Linked DNA regions of Macaca mulatta. The protein of the gene in region 1 interacts with the protein of each later gene in a biochemical or structural test. Links are inferred from orthologs where the notes say so. Each region holds a gene or a part of one and is shown on either strand. Other genes may lie near its edges. The genes, in order: LATS1 and MINK1.

Region 1 (9,005 bases):
CTTATTTGGAGCTTTTTTTTTTTTTTTTTTTTTTTTTTTTTTGAGACGGAGTCTCACTCTGTCGCCCAGGCTGGAGTGCAGTAGTGCGATCTCGGCTCACTGCAACCTCCGCCTCCCAGGTTCACACCATTCTCCTGCCTCAGCCTCCTGAGTAGCTGGGACTACAGGCGCCCGCCACCACACCCGGCTAATTTTTTTTATATTTAGTAGAGACACCACACCTGGTTAATTTTTTATTTTTAGTAGAGACAGGGTTTCACCGTGTTAGCCAGGATGGTCTCGATCTCCTGACCTCGTGATCTGCCTGCCTCAGCCTCCCAGAGTGCTGGGATTACAGGCGTGAGCCACCGCGCCTGACCTGGAACATTTTTATAATGGTTACTTTCAAGTCTTTGTCAGAAAATTCTAGCATCTATGTCATATCAATACTGACTGACTTTTTCTATGTTAGTTGAAATTTTCCGGGTTTTTTGGTTTTTTTTGTTTTTTTGTTTATACTAAGTAATTTTGGATTGTATCCTGGACATTTTAAATAACACATTATGAGACTCTGGATTTTTTTTTTTTTTTTTTTTGAGACAGAGTCTTGCTCTGTCACCCAGGCTGGAGTGAGTGCAGTGGTGTGATCTTGGCTCACTACACCACCTAAGTTCAAGCGATTGTCCTGCCTCAGCCTCCCAGGTAGCTAGGACTATAGGCACGTGCTACCACGCCTGACTAATTTTTGTATTTTTAGTAGAGACGGGGTTTCACTATGTTGGCCAGGCTGGTCTCGAACTCCTGACCTCAGGTGATCTGCCTACCTTGGCCTCCCAAAGTGCTGGGATTACAGGCGTGAGCCACAGGGCCCAGCCGAGACTCTGGATCTTATGGATAATTTTGACCTTGTTTTGACAAGCATTAAACCTGGTTGGGTTCAGGCCACAGGTTCCAACCAGGCTTTTTTTATTTCAATGTCGGTTTCAAAGCCTTTTTTCCTTTCTAGGCAGATCTCTTTGTAGGCTATGGTCTTTTCCTTAGTTCAGTTCTCAAAGTCTTTGTTACGCTCCTTAGGATTAGATTCACATAGGTACAGTTTGGAGGGGGAGCCCAGCAGTTCATAAGCAACTTAATGGGGTCACTTGCCCAATCTCCTCCCTCTCTGTGATGTCCCCAGTACCTTCTTGTTCCCTGGGGCTCCCTATTTTAGTTCTCTGACCAGAAAGTGAGGTTTCACTTACCCAATATCTCATAACTGCACCTGAATCCAGGACAAGGTGGCAAAAGGACACAGAGAGAAAACAAGCAACAGAGATTCAACCCATCTTATTGGGACCCTATGCTTTATTATCATTTTATTTATTTATATATTTATGAGATGGAGTCTCACTCTGTCGCCCAGGCTGGAGTGCAGTGGCACAATCTTGGCTCACTGCAACCTCTGCTTCCTGGGTTCAAGTGATTATCCTAACTCAGCCTCCTGAGTAGCTGGGATTACAGGTATGCACCACCACACCCCACTAATGTTTTTTTTTTTTTGAGACAGAGTCTCGCTCTGTCACCCAGCCTGGAGTGCAGTGGCGCGATCTCAGCTCACTGCAAGCTCCGCCTCCCGGGTTTACGCCATTCTCCTGCCGCAGCCTCCTGAGTAGCTGGGACTACAGGCACCCACCACCTCGCCCGGCTAGTTTTTTGTATTTTTAGTAGAGACGGGATTTCACCATGTTAGCCAGGATGATTTCAATCTCCTGACCTCGTGATCCGCCTGTCTCGGCCTCCCAAAGTGCTGGGATTGCAGGCTTGAGCCACCACGCCCGGCCCACTAATTTTTGTATTTTAGTAGAGACAGGGCTTCACCGTTTTGGCCAAGCTGATCTTGCACTCCTGATCTCAAGTGATCTACCCACCTCGGCCTCCCAAAATGTTGGGATTACAGGCGTGAACCACCGAGCCCAGCCCATGCTTTGTTATTTTATTTCCAATTGGAGAGGAGGGTTCATCTGTCAGTTTTAGGGGCATATTGGCTCTTATTGTCACCTCCATTGCTACCAGGAAACTCCTTTTCTACTCCCTGAGCCTGAACTAGAGGGACTTCTCCTCTAGCTCTCTGTCTGTGCTCAGCTCCTTCCAAGTTTGGGGCTACCTTGAGTCCAGCCTGCAGACTACTAGAGTGAAAAAAATGGAGCTGGGTGTGCTGGCACAGGCCTGTAGTCCCAGTTACTCGGGAGGCTGAGGTGGGAGGATTGCTTGAGGCTAGGAGTTCAAGACCAGCGTGGACAACATAGTGAGAATCCTGTCTCTTATTTTTTTTAAATGGTCACCAGGTTTAATGGTACTTCAAATTTACATCTTCTCCCCAAATCTACCTGTTATTATTTACTTTTCAGGGTCTTGAAGTAGCTGCTTCATGTATCCTGATCAGGTTTTATAGCTGCCTTCTGTGGGAGAGAGACGGGAGAGTATACGTAGTACCTCCTCAAAACTGGGACCTCTCTGGTTGCTTTTAGGATTTTTTTCTCTTTAACTTTAGTTTTCTTCAATTTGACCATGGTGTGCCTATGTGTAGTTTTCTTTGTATTTTTCTTGGTTGAGATTCACTCAGTTTCTTGAAATGTACATTAATGACTTTCATCGATTTGGGGAAATTCTCTGTCATCTCTTCAAAGATTTATTTTGCTTCCTTCTCACCTTTTGAGACTCTAATGATTATACATATGCTATTCCTTTGATATTGTCCTCCATTTCTCTTATGCTTTATTCTTTCTTTTATTCTACATGTTTTCTCTCTGTGCTTCAGTTTATATAATTTTATTCATCCATCTTTGAATTATCTGAATCTTTTGCTGTGCTTAGTCTTTTTTTTTTTTTTTGCCTTAAACTAAAAAATCCTAAATACACATTAAAATAAAAAATGTTAAACTTGGCCAGGCACAGTGGCTCACGCCTGTAATTCTAGCACTTTGGGAGGCCAAGGTGGATGGATCACTTGCGGTCAGGAGTTCGAAACCAGCCTGGCCAGCATGGTGAAACCCTGTCTCTACTAAAAATACAAAAAAATGCCGGGCGCGGTGGCTCATGCCTGTAATCCCAGCACTTTGGGAGGCCGAGGCGGGCGGATCACGAGGTCGGGAGATCGAGACCATCCTGGCTAACACGGTGAGACCCGTCTCTACTAAAAAAAATACAAAAAATTAGCCGGGCGTGGTGGCGGGCGCCTGTAGTCCCAGCTACTCAGGAGGCTGAGGCAGGAGAATGGCGTGAACCCAGGAGGCGGAGCTTGCAGTGAGCTGAGATCGCGCCACTGCACTCTAGCCTGGGCAACAGAGCGAGACTCCGTCTCAAAAAAAAAAAAAAAAAATTAGCCGTGTGAGGTGGCAGGCACCTGTAATCCCAGCTACTCAGGAGACTGAGGCAGGAGAACCACTTGAACCCAGGAGGCAGAGGTTGCAGTGAGCCGAGATCACGCCACTGTACTCCATCCTGGGCAACAGAGCGAGCCTCTGTTTAAAAAAAAAAGGAATTGTTCATCTCATTGTATTTTTTTTTTATTTCTCCTGTTTGAAATAAGTGATGGAACTGGAAGCATAAATAACTATTATTAACTGTATCTTTTTTTTTTCCAAAAAGGTTTTAAAAATATTATATTATTAGTTGAAGCATCTCAATTTTCTAATCTGGGGTAAGACTTTAAAAGGAACAAATAATAGAAGAGGGAGTACATTTTCTTCCCTCTGTAGTAGCTGACTAGCTCCTCTATGAATAAGTAAGATTATAGTGTTCATTTATTCATTATTATTAAAACTTTTTAACAAATATTTATTGACTACCTACCATGGAACAAGTTGAAGATTTTTTTTTTCCTCTTTTGAGACAGGGTCTTGCTCTGTCACCCAGGCTGGAGTGCAGTGGCACAATCACGGCTCACTACGGCCTCAGCCTCCCTGGGCTCAGCTGATCCTCCAACCTCAGCCTCTCAAGTAGCTGGGACCACAGATGTACACCACCAACCTGGCTAACTTTTGTATTTTTTGTAGAGATAGGCTTTCGCCGTGTTGCCCAGGCTGGTCTTGAACTTCTGGGCTCAAGCAATTCACCCACCTTGGCCTCCCAAAGTGCTGGGATTACAGGTGTGAGCCACAGTGCCTGCCCAAGTTGAAGGTATCTTAACTTGGTTAAATGACAATTCTACCACTTAATAGAGTTTGCCCCAAATCCATTTAATATCGTACTTGGAGTTGTATACCAATTCCCCTGCCTCCAAGAGTTCAGCGGGAGAGACTAGGTAGTCTGACTTCACTTGGCATTCCTTTCTTCCTCATTTTATTTTATTCATAACCAGAGCTTTTTTTTTTTTTTTTTTTTTTGAGACAGTGTCTCACTGTGTCACACAGGCTGGAGTGCAGTGGTGCAGTCATGGCTCACTGCAGCCTCAAACTCCTGGGCTCCAGGAATCCTTCTGCTTCAACCTCCTGAGTAGCTAGGACTACAGATGCATGCCACCATACCTGGCTAAGTTTTAAAGTTTTTTTTGGTAGAGAGGGGGTCTCGCTTTGTTGCCCAGGTTTGTCTTGAACCTTCCCAGCTTCAAGCAGTCCTCCCACCTCTGCCTCCCAGGGTGCTGGGATTACAGACAAGCCACCACGCTTGGCACCAGAAAAAGTTTTATCATAATGTATTAAGTATGTGCCAGGCAATTTACTGAGCACTAGGAGATACAAAGACCACTAAAACATGATCCCTAGCCTTAATGGAATTTTATATTTCAGTAGGACATAAACATAAATAGGTACCATAAGGTATTAAAAATGTGATAGAAATAAATATATGGTAGAGGGGAGGCAGAGTAGAAGTAGTCATTTCTACCATAGGCAAAAAGGTTTACTAGGGGAGATTAAAACTGACACTGAGTCTTATAATGTGAGTAGAAGTTGCCTGGAGAGGATGGGATAGGAGAACAAATTATTTTCCAGCAAAATATCATGTAATTTATTTAAAATACAAAAATAGCCCAGTGAGACTTTTGGTATAAAACTTGAAGGAAATTTTTATTTTTCTAATTTATCTCTTCCCCCTAATTTTAAAAAATCTTTAAAGGTTATCAACTGGCAAACATCTCTTCACATTCCACCACAAGCTAAACTCAGTCCTGAAGCTTCTGATCTTATTATTAAACTTTGCCGAGGACCCGAAGATCGCTTAGGCAAGAATGGTGCTGATGAAATAAAAGCTCATCCATTTTTTAAAACAATTGATTTCTCCAGTGACCTGAGACAGCAATCTGCTTCATACATTCCTAAAATCACACACCCAACAGATACATCAAATTTTGATCCTGTTGATCCTGATAAGTTATGGAGTGACGATAACGAGGAAGAAAATGTAAATGACACTCTCAATGGATGGTATAAAAATGGGAAGCATCCTGAACATGCATTCTATGAATTTACCTTCCGAAGGTTTTTTGATGACAATGGCTACCCATATAATTATCCAAAGCCTATTGAATATGAATACATTAATTCACAAGGCTCAGAGCAGCAGTCGGATGAAGATGATCAAAACACAGGCTCAGAGATTAAAAATCGCGATCTAGTATATGTTTAACACACTAGTAAATAAATGTAATGAAAATTTGCAAAAGGGCCTGAAATGCGAGGTGTTTTGAGGTTCTGAGAGTAAAATTATGCAAATATGACAGAGCTATATATGTGTGCTCTGTGTACAATATTGTATTTTCCTAAATTATGGGAAATCCTTTTAAAATGTTAATTTATTCCAGCCGTTTAAATCAGTATTTAGAAAAAAATTGTTATAAGAAAAGTAAATTATGAACTGAATATTACAGTCAGTTCTTGGTACTTAAAGTACTTAAAATAAGTAGTGCTTTGTTTAAAAGGAGAAATCTGGTATCTATTTGTATATATGCTAAATAATTTTAAAAGACAAGAGTTTTTGAAATTTTTTTGAAAGACAGTTTTAGTTTTATCTTGCTTTAACCAAATATGAAACATACCCCGTATTTACAGAGCTCTTTTTTCCCCTCATAACCTTGTTTTTGGTACAAAATAAGCTAGAGAAATTAAGCCATCGTGTTGGTGAGTGTTCCTAGGCTAATCTTAATCTGTATAATTCACATCCTGAAACTAAGGAATACAGGGTTAAAAAATATTAATATGTTTGTCAGAAGGAAAGATAATGCATTTATCTCCCCGCCCCCATGGAATATTTAATCTTCTTGCATTTATTTCTCAAGAATTACTGGCTTTAAAAGAAGCCAAAGCACTACTAGCTTTTTTTCCATATTGTTATTTTTGATGCTGCTTCCAATTTTAAAAGGGAACAAAGCTGCCATAAATAAAAATTTTCAGTACTGAAAGCTAAAATTTTTTTCACCATCCTAAGCAAAGAATTATTTTCATGTTCATGTACTTTTCCTGTATAGTAACTATTTTGATTATATTATCAATGTTACCTGTTTCCTCTTTCAGAACAGTGCTGCATATACAGATTGTTATTGGCAAAGGAAAATCTGGCTATCTGGCAATATTTTACCTAAGGGCAGATTAATTGGTGAAAAAATTAACTCTTAAGATGGCCATTAATAATTAGAAAAATTTACAGAGTGGTCTTAGTAGAAAATTCAAGTCCTCCTAATTTATTTAAGGTTAAATAATGTGTTCAACATGACTATTATGTATAATGCTTAGGTTCTAAGGAAGATTAAGGTTCTATACCAAAATACATGAGCTTATCTTTTAGGAAGGGGAAAAAGGCTCTATTTTGACCATAGTAAAATTTGTATTTTATTTCCTTTTCTTAAGCTCCATTGATAAGGGATTGTTTTTATCAAAAGTTACTATTTGGGGATTGGAGGCATAATTTTAATGATTTTCATACTTTTAGCTTTCTTCACATAAAAGCTAATTGAAACCATATATGTAGTAAAATTAAAGGCAGAGCTGTTGCAGTTGAATTGGAGAGTCAGGGCAAAGAACACTTACTAGCCCACACTTCCTACCTTTCTACAGGTGGTCCTTTCAGAACTCAGCTTGGAAACCTACTACTATGTTATCATGGGTCTTTCGGGGTTAGTGGTTCTTTTGAGAATCTGAAGGAAGCTGTGGACTCTTCCCAGGAAAAAAAAAAAAATCAACACATACAATGTTGCATGCAGTTTCAAGGGATTTTGGACATATTGAAACCTATCACAGGCTCTAGGTTATGGACCTCGGTCCCATGAGAAAATTGATATATTAAACTAAGAACTTTGTTTTTAACTTACCAATCACTACTCAGCACATCTTATATAAACTGATAATTTGTGATGGAAAAGGTCTGTAACATGTGATGTAAGGTGACCTTATGAATGCCTCTCTTGCTGGTACATTAATTTGTTTTAAATGTATCATTTGGAGGGGACTGAAATGTTGGACTCATTACAAGCTTGATACAGAAATATTTCTGAAGGATTTCTAATTGGAATTATAAGAAAATGTGCTCTCATGAAATGGCAGTCTTCACCTCTTGGTTCATGGAACATTTGGTTAGTCCCATAAAATCCTATGCAAAACAAAGTAGTTCAAGAATTTTTAGGTGAGTACTCACATTTATAAGGTATTCCTCTTGCTCTTTGGGCTTTTTCAATCTGATTTATTTAAATTTTCATTTAGTTGTTTTACTTTTGGACTAAGGTGCAATACAGTAGAAAATAACTTTGTTACATTTATGTTGTAGGAAATCTAAGGTGCTGTCTCCTCCCCCTTCCCTTCCCACAAAATCTGTATTCCCCCTATTGCTGAAATGTAACAGACACTACAAATTTTGTATTCTTTTTTTGTTTTTTGTTTTGAGACAGGGTCTCACTCTGTCACCCAGGCTGGAGTGCAGTGGCGCTTCACAGCTCACTGCATCCTCGACATTTGAGGCTCACGCAGTCCTCACACCTCAGCCTCCCAAGTAGCTGGGCATGCGCCACCAAGCCCAGCTAATTTTTGTATCTTTAGTAGAGATGGGGTTTTGCCATGTTGCCCAGGTTGGTCTGGAACTCCTGGGCTCCAGTTATATGCCCACCTCAGCCTCCCAGAGTGCTGGGATTACAGACGTGAGCCACCGCGCCTGGCGCAAATATGTATTCTTTTAAAATTTCCTCTGATACTATAAGCCTTTTGCATTTATCTGAAGCAGTATACATGCCTTTGGTATCAGCAATTTTAACAGTTTGGATATACTTATCAGCTGTCTTATTCCAAAACTACATCTACTTCTTCCAGTATAGAATCTGGTGCTTCCTGACCAAAAAGATGAGAAAAACAATGTTAAAAATATAGATACTTTCCATTGAAATGGAGTGAAAACGTTGGTTCTGTATGTTTTCTTTTAAAATAATTTTCTCATAAAAACTTGCTGTCTTTATTGTACTTACCCTTTTTATGCATATCAATAGTATTTATAAGATGTGTTCTATAATTATGTAATTGTAGATACTGTTATGTATTGTCCAGTGACATCATAAGGCAGGCCCTACTGCTGTATCTTTTCTACCTTCTTATTTGTAATAGAAACTATAGAATGTATGACTAAAAAGTCACTTTGAGATTGACTTTTTTAAAAAGTTATTACTTTCTGCTGTTGCAAAGTGCAAAACTGTGAGTGGAATTGTTTTATTCTGACTTAATATGTTAGAAATTAGAGAATACAGTGGGAGGATTTGTAGACATTGCTGCTGCTGTTACCCAAGGTATTTTAGATCAAAAAATTTAATAAACAGAAATCCCTTTGGTATTTAAAGTGGAACATTTAGCCTGTTCATTTTAATCTAAAGCAAAAAGTAATTTGGGTCAAAATATTGGTATATTTGTAAAGCGCCTTAATATATCCTTTTGTGGAAGGCACTACACAGTTTACTTTTATATTGTATTGTGTATATAAGTATTTTGTATTAAAATTGAATCAGTGGCAACACTAAAGTTTTATAAAATCATGCTTTGTTAGAAAAGGAATTACAGCTTTGCAATATAACTAATTGT
Region 2 (9,348 bases), on another chromosome or scaffold:
GGAGCGGCAGGTCCGCATCCAGCTTAAGGACCACATTGACCGATCCCGGAAGAAGCGGGGTGAGAAAGGTCAGTGGGCAGGCTGGAGGGGCAGGTACTAGGGGACACTCCAGCCTGGCTCCTCTCTGCCAGCCCTGCTCACTCCTGGCTTCCCTTCCTGCTCCCCTCCTTGGCCCCAGCTCTCCCTGTCCAAGGAGATCGTTCTCAAACTTGCAACAGCCGAGGGGTTTTCCCTCCTTTCCCTCCCAATCTGGGTCAGCCCTCCAGAGGAGGACCGGCCTTTCACATCCTTATGAAAACTCCATGCTAAGCACATACGTGTGCGAGCCCAGGCACAGGCTCTGCCACACCTCAGCTGCCCAGGGACCCAGTCCTGGTCCCTGTCCGGGCCCACACCTGAGACACACTGTCCTCCCATTGCTCCCAGGAAGTGGGTGGGGCCCCTCATGCGTGCCCACCCAGACAGACCTTCTGGTTATGCCCACCCGAGGTTTCCCTAGCCCACGGCGGGGTCTGGGGTACTGGGTGAGTTAACAGCAGTGGTCTCCCCTGCAGAGGAGACAGAATATGAGTACAGCGGCAGCGAGGAGGAAGACGACAGCCATGGAGAGGAAGGAGAGCCAAGGTAGGCCTGGCAGGCGGAGCGGGGGTTGGGGGGTCATCACTGAGTGGGGGGACTACAGTGGTGCTTGGCTTTGGAGATGCTCGGCCTGGGGGTGATGGGCACAGAGAGGTAGAGACTCCTAGAAACCAAATTCCTGAGTGCTAAGAAGTGGAACAAATGAGTGAGCAAGAGCTGGGGAGAGAGCAATTCAGGGTGAAGGTGGGGCGCAGCAGTAATAGGAAAGGAGGATAGGGCTGAAGACCGGGCAGCAGGGGACAGTGAGTCTCCTGGCCACCTGGGAGTGGCCAGAGGCAGAGGCTTTGATCCAGTTAAAGCACCCGCTCAGGCGGGCCCACGGGGTTGAGAGTGGGAACCAACAGGGTTCTGACCCCAGCTCTTCTTTGTGCCACCCCTGCCCAGCTCCATCATGAACGTGCCTGGAGAGTCGACTCTACGCCGGGAATTTCTCCGCCTCCAGCAGGAAAATAAGAGCAACTCAGAGGCTTTAAAACAGCAGCAGCAGCTGCAGCAGCAGCAGCAGCGAGACCCCGAGGCACACATCAAACACCTGCTGCACCAGCGGCAGAGGCGCATAGAGGAGCAGAAGGAGGAGCGGCGCCGCGTGGAGGAGGTGGGCTGTCTGCCAAGGGCCCAGGCCTGGCGCGGCCTCCTGCTGACCTTCCCAGGGTCCATTAGGGCCTCAGGGAGAACAGGTTTTAAAATGCCTTAAATGGGGCCGAGCGCGGTGGCTCACGCCTGTAATCCCGGCACTTTGGGAGGCCGAGGCGTGCGGATGATGAGGTCAGGAGATCGAGACCATCCTGGCTAACACAGTGAAACCCCATCTCAACTAAAAATACAAAAAATTAGCCGGGCGTGGTGGCGGGCGCCTGTAGTCCCAGCTACTGGGGAGGCTGAGGCAGGAGAATGGCGTGAACCCGGGAGGCGGAGCTTGCAGTGAGCTGAGATCCAGCCACTGCACTCCAGCCTGGGCGACAGAGTGAGACTCTGCCTCAGAATTAAAATAAAATAAAATGCCTTAAATCAATGGCATTTCTGTTGAAACAGTTACATGATTTCAAATTTCATGATTAGCTGGACTTAACAAAAAATGTGTCTAAATAATAGGCAATAGACCAGATGCGGTAGCTCACTTTCGGAGGCTGAGGTGGGTGGATCACCTGAGGTCAGGAGTTTTTGAGACCAGTCTGGCCAACATGGTGAAACCCCATCTCTACTAATAATACAAAAATCAGCCGGGTGTGGTGGCACGTGCCTGTAATCCCAGCTACTTGGGAGGCTGAGACAGGAGATTCACTTGAACCCGGGAGGCAGAGGTGAGCAGAGATCACACCACTGCACTCCAGCCTGGGTGACAGAGTGAGACTCCATCTCCAATACTACTACTAATAGTAATAACCCGGCCGGGCGCGGTGGCTCAAGCCTGTAATCCCAGCACTTTGGGAGGCCGAGACGGGCGGATCACAAGGTCAGGAGATCGAGACCATCCTGGCTAACACGGTGAAACCCCGTCTCTACTAAAAAATGCAAAAACCTAGCTGGGCGAGATGGCGGGCGCCTGTAGTCCCAGCTACTCGTGAGGCTGAGGCAGGAGAATGGCGTGAACCCGGGAGGCGGAGCTTGCAGTGAGCTGAGATCCGGCCACTGCACTCCAGTCTGGGCGACAAAGCGAGACTCTGTCTCAACAACAACAAAAATAATAATAATAACCCGCAGCATCCACACTGTCCACCTGCTACCCCCAAAGCAGGCCCTCTCATTGTTGAACAAAAAATAATTTGCAAGAAAACCTGCTACAGAAGAGCCTTGTGCAGTTTTGAAAATATAGGCCGGGCGCGATGGCTCACGCCTGTAATCCCAGCACTTTGGGAGGCCAAGGCGGGTGGATCATGAGGTCAGGAGTTCAAGACCAGCCTGTCTAATATGGTGAAACCCCATCTCTACTAAAAATACAAAAAATTAGCCGGATGTGGGTGGTGCACACGCCTGTAGTCCCAGCTACTCGGGAGGCTGAGGCAGGAAAATCACTTGAACCCGGGAGGCGGAGGTTGGTGTGAGCCAAGATCATGCCACTGCACTCCAGCCTAGGGAACAGAGCAAGACTCTGTCTCAAAAATAAATAAATAAATAAATAAAATAAATAAATATAGCGTTCAGATAGCATAGTGACAAAGTCCTATCTAACGGCGTGGAGAAGGCGTGCCAGCAACTTCATTGCAGGAATAGGCACAAGTTCCCTCAAGTGTAAGGGCCCCTTAGGGCTTGCGCTTTTGTTGTTGTAGGCGGTGGTGGCGGTGGTGGTTGTGGTAGACTTTGTGATCGGAAATACCGTGAAAGTCAAGTACCACCTGGGCATCGGGGCTTGCCAAGGAGCGGGCCAGGTCCCTTTTCTGTGCTTTCTGTGCACGGGCACCTGGTGCCCTCTTGTGGCCAAAGTCTATCGCTACGACCCGCTCTGTATGGACTTCAGGCAAAGGTCGGTTTTAGGCTAGGAGTGCTGGGGATGCTTGTTTTGAGTTCGGGTTTTGTTTGTTGTTTGGTGGGGTGTGGGTAGGGGAAGGTGTTGTCTAGCTAAGCACACCCCACAGGCAGCGGTCAGTCTCACAGCCTCTCTCATCACAGCTACTGGCTGTTTTCCCGAGCCCAGCCCCGCGGGCCCTTGGGTGGGGATGGGTATAGTTACAGAAACAAGCGCAAGCCTCCGTGGTGAGCAAGGAGAGCTCCCTCCCTGTCCATGGAGGGACAGTGGTGCCGCGGTGTCCGGTATGGTCCTTAAGACCACCTGGCTCTCCCCATAGCAACAGCGGCGGGAGCGGGAGCAGCGGAAGCTGCAGGAGAAGGAGCAGCAGCGGCGGCTGGAGGACATGCAGGTTCTGCGGCGGGAGGAGGAGCGGCGGCAGGCGGAGCGCGAGCAGGTAGAGCGCCGCACCCACATCCCTGCCCTCCCGCCCTCCCGCTCCTGCTGCCTGCCGCCCCTGCTCCCCGTGCCCTTCCCCCTTCTCTCCCCCCCACCCAGATTCCTCCTATCTTTTCTAGCTTCACTCTTTCTCTCTGTTTTCTCCCACCCTTCAACCCCAACCCTGGCCCCCTCCCTCCTCCTTCCCTGCCTCATTCCCATCTCTGTACCCCATCCCTGATTCTCCCTGGCCCCTTCCTCATCCCCCTCATTCCCTGTGCCCTCTTCTTCCCCATCTGTGCCGCGTGGCCCCCCGGGGCTCATGCCATCCCCTCCCCTACCTCTCTCTTACTTTTCCCCTGCACCCCCTCATCCTCCTCCTGCGGATCCCTTCCTCCTTCTCCAACTCGCTGCTGCTGCCCTCCTCTGCCTCTTCCTCCTTCCCTGCCCTCTGCCCCCCACCCTACACCCCGCCCCCCAGGAATATATTCGTCACAGGCTAGAGGAGGAGCAGCGACAGCTCGAGATCCTTCAGCAACAGCTGCTCCAGGAACAGGCCCTGCTGCTGGTAACGGGTCCCTCAGCGTCCTCTGGGAAGATGCTTTTCAGAGCTTCTTTGCTGGAACGGGATGGGAACACTTCAAGGGAAGGGATTCACCCAAGACATCAAGGGAATACATCTCCTCTCTAGGCAGTTGGAGAAAAGAGAGGGCATGCCTGCTCTGACTCCCAGGCCACACTCTGCTGAGCCCTCTCTCCCTACCCTTGGGCCCAGGAATACAAGCGGAAGCAGCTGGAGGAGCAGCGGCAGTCAGAGCGTCTCCAGAGGCAGCTGCAGCAGGAGCATGCCTACCTCAAGTCCCTGCAGCAGCAGCAACAGCAGCAGCAGCTTCAGAAACAGCAGCAGCAGCAGCTCCTGCCCGGGGACAGGAAGCCCCTGTACCATTATGGTCGGGGCATGAATCCCGCTGACAAACCAGCCTGGGCCCGAGAGGTACTCACTGCCTCCTTTGCCTCCTGAGACTGCAGTCCCACTGCCTGAGGCCTGGAGAGCCACAAGAAGTGGTTGTTCACAGGAACAGGCACCGAGCAGGGGAAAGGAGCACACAGCACACAGCATAGGACAGGAGTGGTGAGGGCGGGCGGGGCCCTCAGTTTTGAGAACAGGGAGGCAAGAGCTGGCCTGCTTGACATCCCTTCACATCACAGGTAGAAGAGAGAACAAGGATGAACAAGCAGCAGAACTCTCCCTTGGCCAAGAGCAAGCCAAGCAGCACGGGGCCTGAGCCCTCCATCCCCCAGGCCTCCCCCGGGCCTGCAGGACCCCTTTCCCAGACTCCTCCTATGCAGAGGCCGGTGGAGCCCCAGGAGGGACCGCACAAGGTGAGTCTCTCCCCACTCCTGTCTTACTGCAGACACAGGGAGCTTTGCTCAGAGCCCAGGTGCACACACACACACACACGCACACACACACCTGCTCAGCCCTGAGCCAGGATTCCAGAGCACAGGCTATGTGGACAGACACACTCACCTGCTTCTTGCTGCCTATGTCTGTCCTGACTTAGCTGTCCTCAGGCTCAAGGAACCCCTTGTCCTTCAATGGAGGAAGGGGCAACTAAAGTCCCTTCCCACCTCAGACCCCGATTTGCAGGTGGGGACCTGCCATGGAGCAGGCAGCCCACCCTCCCTGGTCTCTCCCTGCAGAGCCTGGTGGCACACCGGGTCCCACTGAAGCCATATGCAGCACCTGTGCCCCGATCCCAGTCCCTGCAGGACCAGCCCACCCGAAACCTGGCTGCCTTCCCAGCCTCCCATGACCCCGACCCTGCCATCCCTGCACCCACTGCCACGCCCAGTGCCCGAGGAGCTGTCATCCGCCAGAATTCAGACCCCACCTCTGAAGGACCTGGCCCCAGCCCGAACCCCCCAGCCTGGGTCCGCCCAGATAACGAGGCCCCACCCAAGGTAAGGACAGCCTGTGGGCCCAGGGAAAAGCAAGGAACTAGTCATGAGGAGAAGGAGGGCAGTGAAGGGGCCGCATGGGGAAGAGTGCAGGGCGGGAAGCCAGAGAAAGCTAGGGCGCTGCCCAGCAGGGCTCAGCCGTCCAGCTGAGGAGGCAACGTGGAGGTGTGGCATTGATGCCCCTGGGGAGCGTGGGAACGGAGAAACGCCCAGGGTGTTTCGGGGCCGCTAAGGGGCAGACTTTGTGAGTTAGAACCGCAGCTCCAACCATCTCCCAGCTTCATAACCTTGGACGTATTCACTAACTTCCCTGAACCTCAGTTTTCTCATCCATCAAAGTGAGGAGCTCACCTCTCAGAGGTGAGGCTCAAACATCTCTGAAGTGCCCGTCGCAGCGCCAGCTCGCAGCACGTGGACTTCTCTCCACAGGTGCCTCAGAGGACCTCATCTATCGCCACTGCCCTTAACACCAGTGGGGCCGGAGGATCCCGGCCAGCCCAGGCAGTCCGTGCCAGGTAATGCCTGGGTAGGGCAATGCCTGGGTGAGGTCTGAGGACAGCCTAGGGAGTAGGGGGGCACAGGGACTTTACCAGCCTACCCACCTAGGGGTGGGCAAGCCCCAGCCCCATCACCTCAGCGCCCCCCCGCCCCCTCGGCACCCCTGTGCTCCCTTCACAGACCTCGCAGCAACTCCGCCTGGCAAATCTATCTGCAAAGGCGGGCAGAGCGGGGCACCCCAAAGCCTCCAGGGCCCCCTGCTCAGCCCCCTGGCCCGCCCAACGCCTCTAGGTAATGGAGTCGTACCCCGACTCACTCCCACCTCTCACTTCTGCCACCTGCTTCCCTGGTGATGGCTCCCTCTGCAGTGCAGCTCAGCACCCCAGAGAGGGGAGCACCCTGCCTCCCTGACCCTGACTCTGCCCCCCAACAGTAACCCCGACCTCAGGAGGAGCGACCCTGGCTGGGAACGCTCGGACAGTGTCCTCCCGGCCTCGCACGGGCACCTCCCCCAGGCCGGCTCACTGGAGCGGAACCGCGTGGGAGGTACGTGAGCCAGGGCTGGGCAGCCTGCTCTGGGCCTGGAGTCTTATCAGGATGGACCCTGCCTTTGGTGGCTTTGGACTGGGACACCCACAGGGACAGGGAGGACCTGCGTGGGTATGGAACTCGGGGCTGAGTTCTGGGGCTCAGGGGCAAGGGGTCAGCCCAGGTGTGGGCTTGAGGCCATCCCTTGTCCAGGCATCAGTGACCTTTCTTCTTCCACCCTGCCATGTCCAGCCTCCTCCAAACTGGACAGCTCCCCAGTGCTCTCTCCTGGGAATAAAGCCAAGCCCGATGACCACCGCTCGCGGCCAGGCCGGCCCGCAGTGAGTCGCCTGGTGGCCGGCACCGCCTGCCTCATCCTGGTTTGGGGCTTAGCCCCAGGGAGCTGGGTGCCAGGGGGGGTCTCCGCGGATCTACTGGGAAGGGCTGTGGGGATGGAGGGACTGGTGCTTCTCATGCTACTAACCTTTTCTAACCTCTTTCCTAACATCTCTCCTGGCTCGCTCTTCCCCTGCGGCCCCTCCCAGAGCTATAAGCGAGCAATTGGTGAGGTTAGTGAGATGGGCCTGCTTGTGGGGGCCCCTCCTGTCACCTTGCTGGGGTGTCCCAGCACCCTTTGTCTGCCTCCACCCAGGCCCACCTTCTCCCTGCCCCTCACGTGGCTCCTCCCCGCAGGACTTCGTGTTGCTGAAAGAGCGGACCCTGGACGAGGCCCCTCGGCCTCCCAAGAAGGCCATGGACTACTCATCGTCCAGCGAGGAGGTGGAGAGCAGTGAGGATGACGAGGAGGAAGGCGAAGGCGGGCCATCAGAGGGGAGCAGAGACACCCCTGGGGGCCGGTACGGCATCGGGAGTGGGGCCCTCCCACTCCAAGGCACAAGGAGGGAGGGGAAGTGGCAGTGGAGGGAGAGGTAGGGCTTTGGGGCAAGTCTGAGGGAGAACAGCGCCCTTCTCTAGAGAGTGGGGTGAGGGTGCAGGTTCCTGTCTCTCTCCTGCTGTCCTGTGTGTTGTGGGGTGGCCTCTCCAAGTGCCTGTCTGCTCCTGTGCCAGCCTGCCCTGTGTGCCATGCAGGGAAGCACCTCACGGTGGAACAGGGACTACCCCGTGAGGGTGGAGCAGGTTGTGTTTTGAATAGAGACAAAAGCCTGGGCTCTGGCTTCCATCTGCTGCCTTTGGCACTTCTGTGGCCACGGGCAGGACCTGGAGAGGCCCCACCTTCCTCTCTCACAGCAGCGATGGGGATACAGACAGCGTCAGCACCATGGTGGTCCACGACGTCGAGGAGATCACCGGGACCCAGCCCCCATACGGGGGCGGCACCATGGTGGTCCAGCGTGTGAGTGAGCCTCCGCTGCCTCCCCTGTAGCTGTGTGTGCCCTCCTCAGCCCCGTGCCGACCCTGCCCTCTGTCCTGTAGACCCCTGAAGAGGAGCGGAACCTGCTGCATGCTGACAGCAACGGGTATACAAACCTGCCTGACGTGGTGCAGCCCAGCCACTCACCCACCGAGAACAGCAAAGGCCAAAGCCCGCCCTCGAAGGATGGGAGCAGTGACGTAAGTGGGCCGGAGGCAGGTCCGCTGGGGGAGAAGAGCCCGGGCGGTGGGCAGGAGGTCTGGGTGCTGGGTCATGGCAGAGGATGGGGCGGAGCGCTGGGAGCTGGACAATGGGGGTGCCAGCTGGGGAGCTGGAGCCTGGGAACAGCAGCAGGGGCAGGGCCGCAGCTGGACTTGCACTTGTTTGCCTGACTGCTGCCCCCCCACCACAGTACCAGTCTCGTGGGCTGGTAAAGGCCCCTGGCAAGAGCTCGTTCACGATGTTTGTGGATCTAGGGATCTACCAGCCTGGAGGCAGTGGGGACACCATCCCCATCACAGGTGAGGACGGGAGGACAGACCTGCCATCAGGCTGGGGTCCAGGGGCAGCCTGGAGGGGAGCATGATGGTCTTGAGACGCAGCCTCACAAAGCCACAGGACCTCTCCCTTGGGCTCTAGCACCTGCCCGGGCAGAGAGAAGGAAGGGCCTCTGCGACCCCTCCACAGGAGAGAAAATGCTCACAGTAGCCAGGGGACCTGGGCAAAGACTCAAAGCTAGCAAGTGACAGAAATGGGACTTGAGCCAGGCCTTCTGACTCAAAAGGGGGGTCCAGCACTCTATCCCCCTCTCCCGTGCACCCCTTCTCCTCCCGTCTTTTTCCTTTCTGTGTATTATGAGGCGCCAAGACCTGATATAGGGGATGGAGGTAGAAAGAGATGGGGTGAGAAGCTGCAGCCCCTCCTCCCGCCTCCTCCTCCTTCTGGCAGCCCTAGTGGGTGGAGAGGGCACTCGGCTCGACCAGCTGCAGTACGACGTGAGGAAGGGCTCTGTGGTCAACGTGAATCCCACCAACACCCGGGCCCACAGTGAGACCCCTGAGATCCGGAAGTACAAGAAGCGATTCAACTCTGAGATCCTGTGTGCAGCCCTTTGGGGTAAGCCAGGGCAGGGACAGCTGAGGGGGCTGTGGCGTGGCTCCCATGCTCCTGGTTAGGCAAGGGCCTGGCTGAGCCTCTGACCTGCCCAAGGGCTCCTATTGCAGGGGTCAACCTGCTGGTGGGCACGGAGAACGGGCTGATGTTGCTGGACCGAAGTGGGCAGGGCAAGGTGTACGGACTCATTGGGCGGCGACGCTTCCAGCAGATGGACGTGCTGGAGGGGCTCAACCTGCTCATCACCATCTCAGGTACAGGTGCGGCGAGTGGGGGAGGGAGGAGGGGCTCAGCTCCCTGGCGCTGTCACTGTCTTCTGCCCGGGAGGAGGGCAGCCTTGGTCCAGGCACTGGAA

The links.
Region 2: of the proteins of LATS1 (region 1) and MINK1, one has a biochemical effect on the other in vitro, tested with the Homo sapiens proteins (2 studies listed by BioGRID). The link is inferred for Macaca mulatta from reciprocal best matches to the Homo sapiens genes LATS1 and MINK1.

What each region holds. Positions count from the first base shown.
Region 1 is NC_133409.1:68,168,693-68,177,697, reverse strand, and holds part of LATS1 (serine/threonine-protein kinase LATS1), read left to right. Parts: intron 1-5,073; coding exon 5,074-5,583; 3' UTR 5,584-9,005. UniProt on the Homo sapiens protein: Negative regulator of YAP1 in the Hippo signaling pathway that plays a pivotal role in organ size control and tumor suppression by restricting proliferation and promoting apoptosis.
Region 2 is NC_133421.1:6,427,683-6,437,030, forward strand, and holds part of MINK1 (misshapen-like kinase 1), read left to right. Parts: coding exon 1-68; intron 69-554; coding exon 555-624; intron 625-1,023; coding exon 1,024-1,234; intron 1,235-3,422; coding exon 3,423-3,539; intron 3,540-4,001; coding exon 4,002-4,088; intron 4,089-4,295; coding exon 4,296-4,514; intron 4,515-4,729; coding exon 4,730-4,903; intron 4,904-5,224; coding exon 5,225-5,485; intron 5,486-5,911; coding exon 5,912-5,997; intron 5,998-6,160; coding exon 6,161-6,271; intron 6,272-6,413; coding exon 6,414-6,526; intron 6,527-6,760; coding exon 6,761-6,849; intron 6,850-7,053; coding exon 7,054-7,077; intron 7,078-7,201; coding exon 7,202-7,365; intron 7,366-7,756; coding exon 7,757-7,862; intron 7,863-7,942; coding exon 7,943-8,080; intron 8,081-8,292; coding exon 8,293-8,401; intron 8,402-8,828; coding exon 8,829-8,996; intron 8,997-9,103; coding exon 9,104-9,247; intron 9,248-9,348. UniProt on the Homo sapiens protein: Serine/threonine kinase which acts as a negative regulator of Ras-related Rap2-mediated signal transduction to control neuronal structure and AMPA receptor trafficking.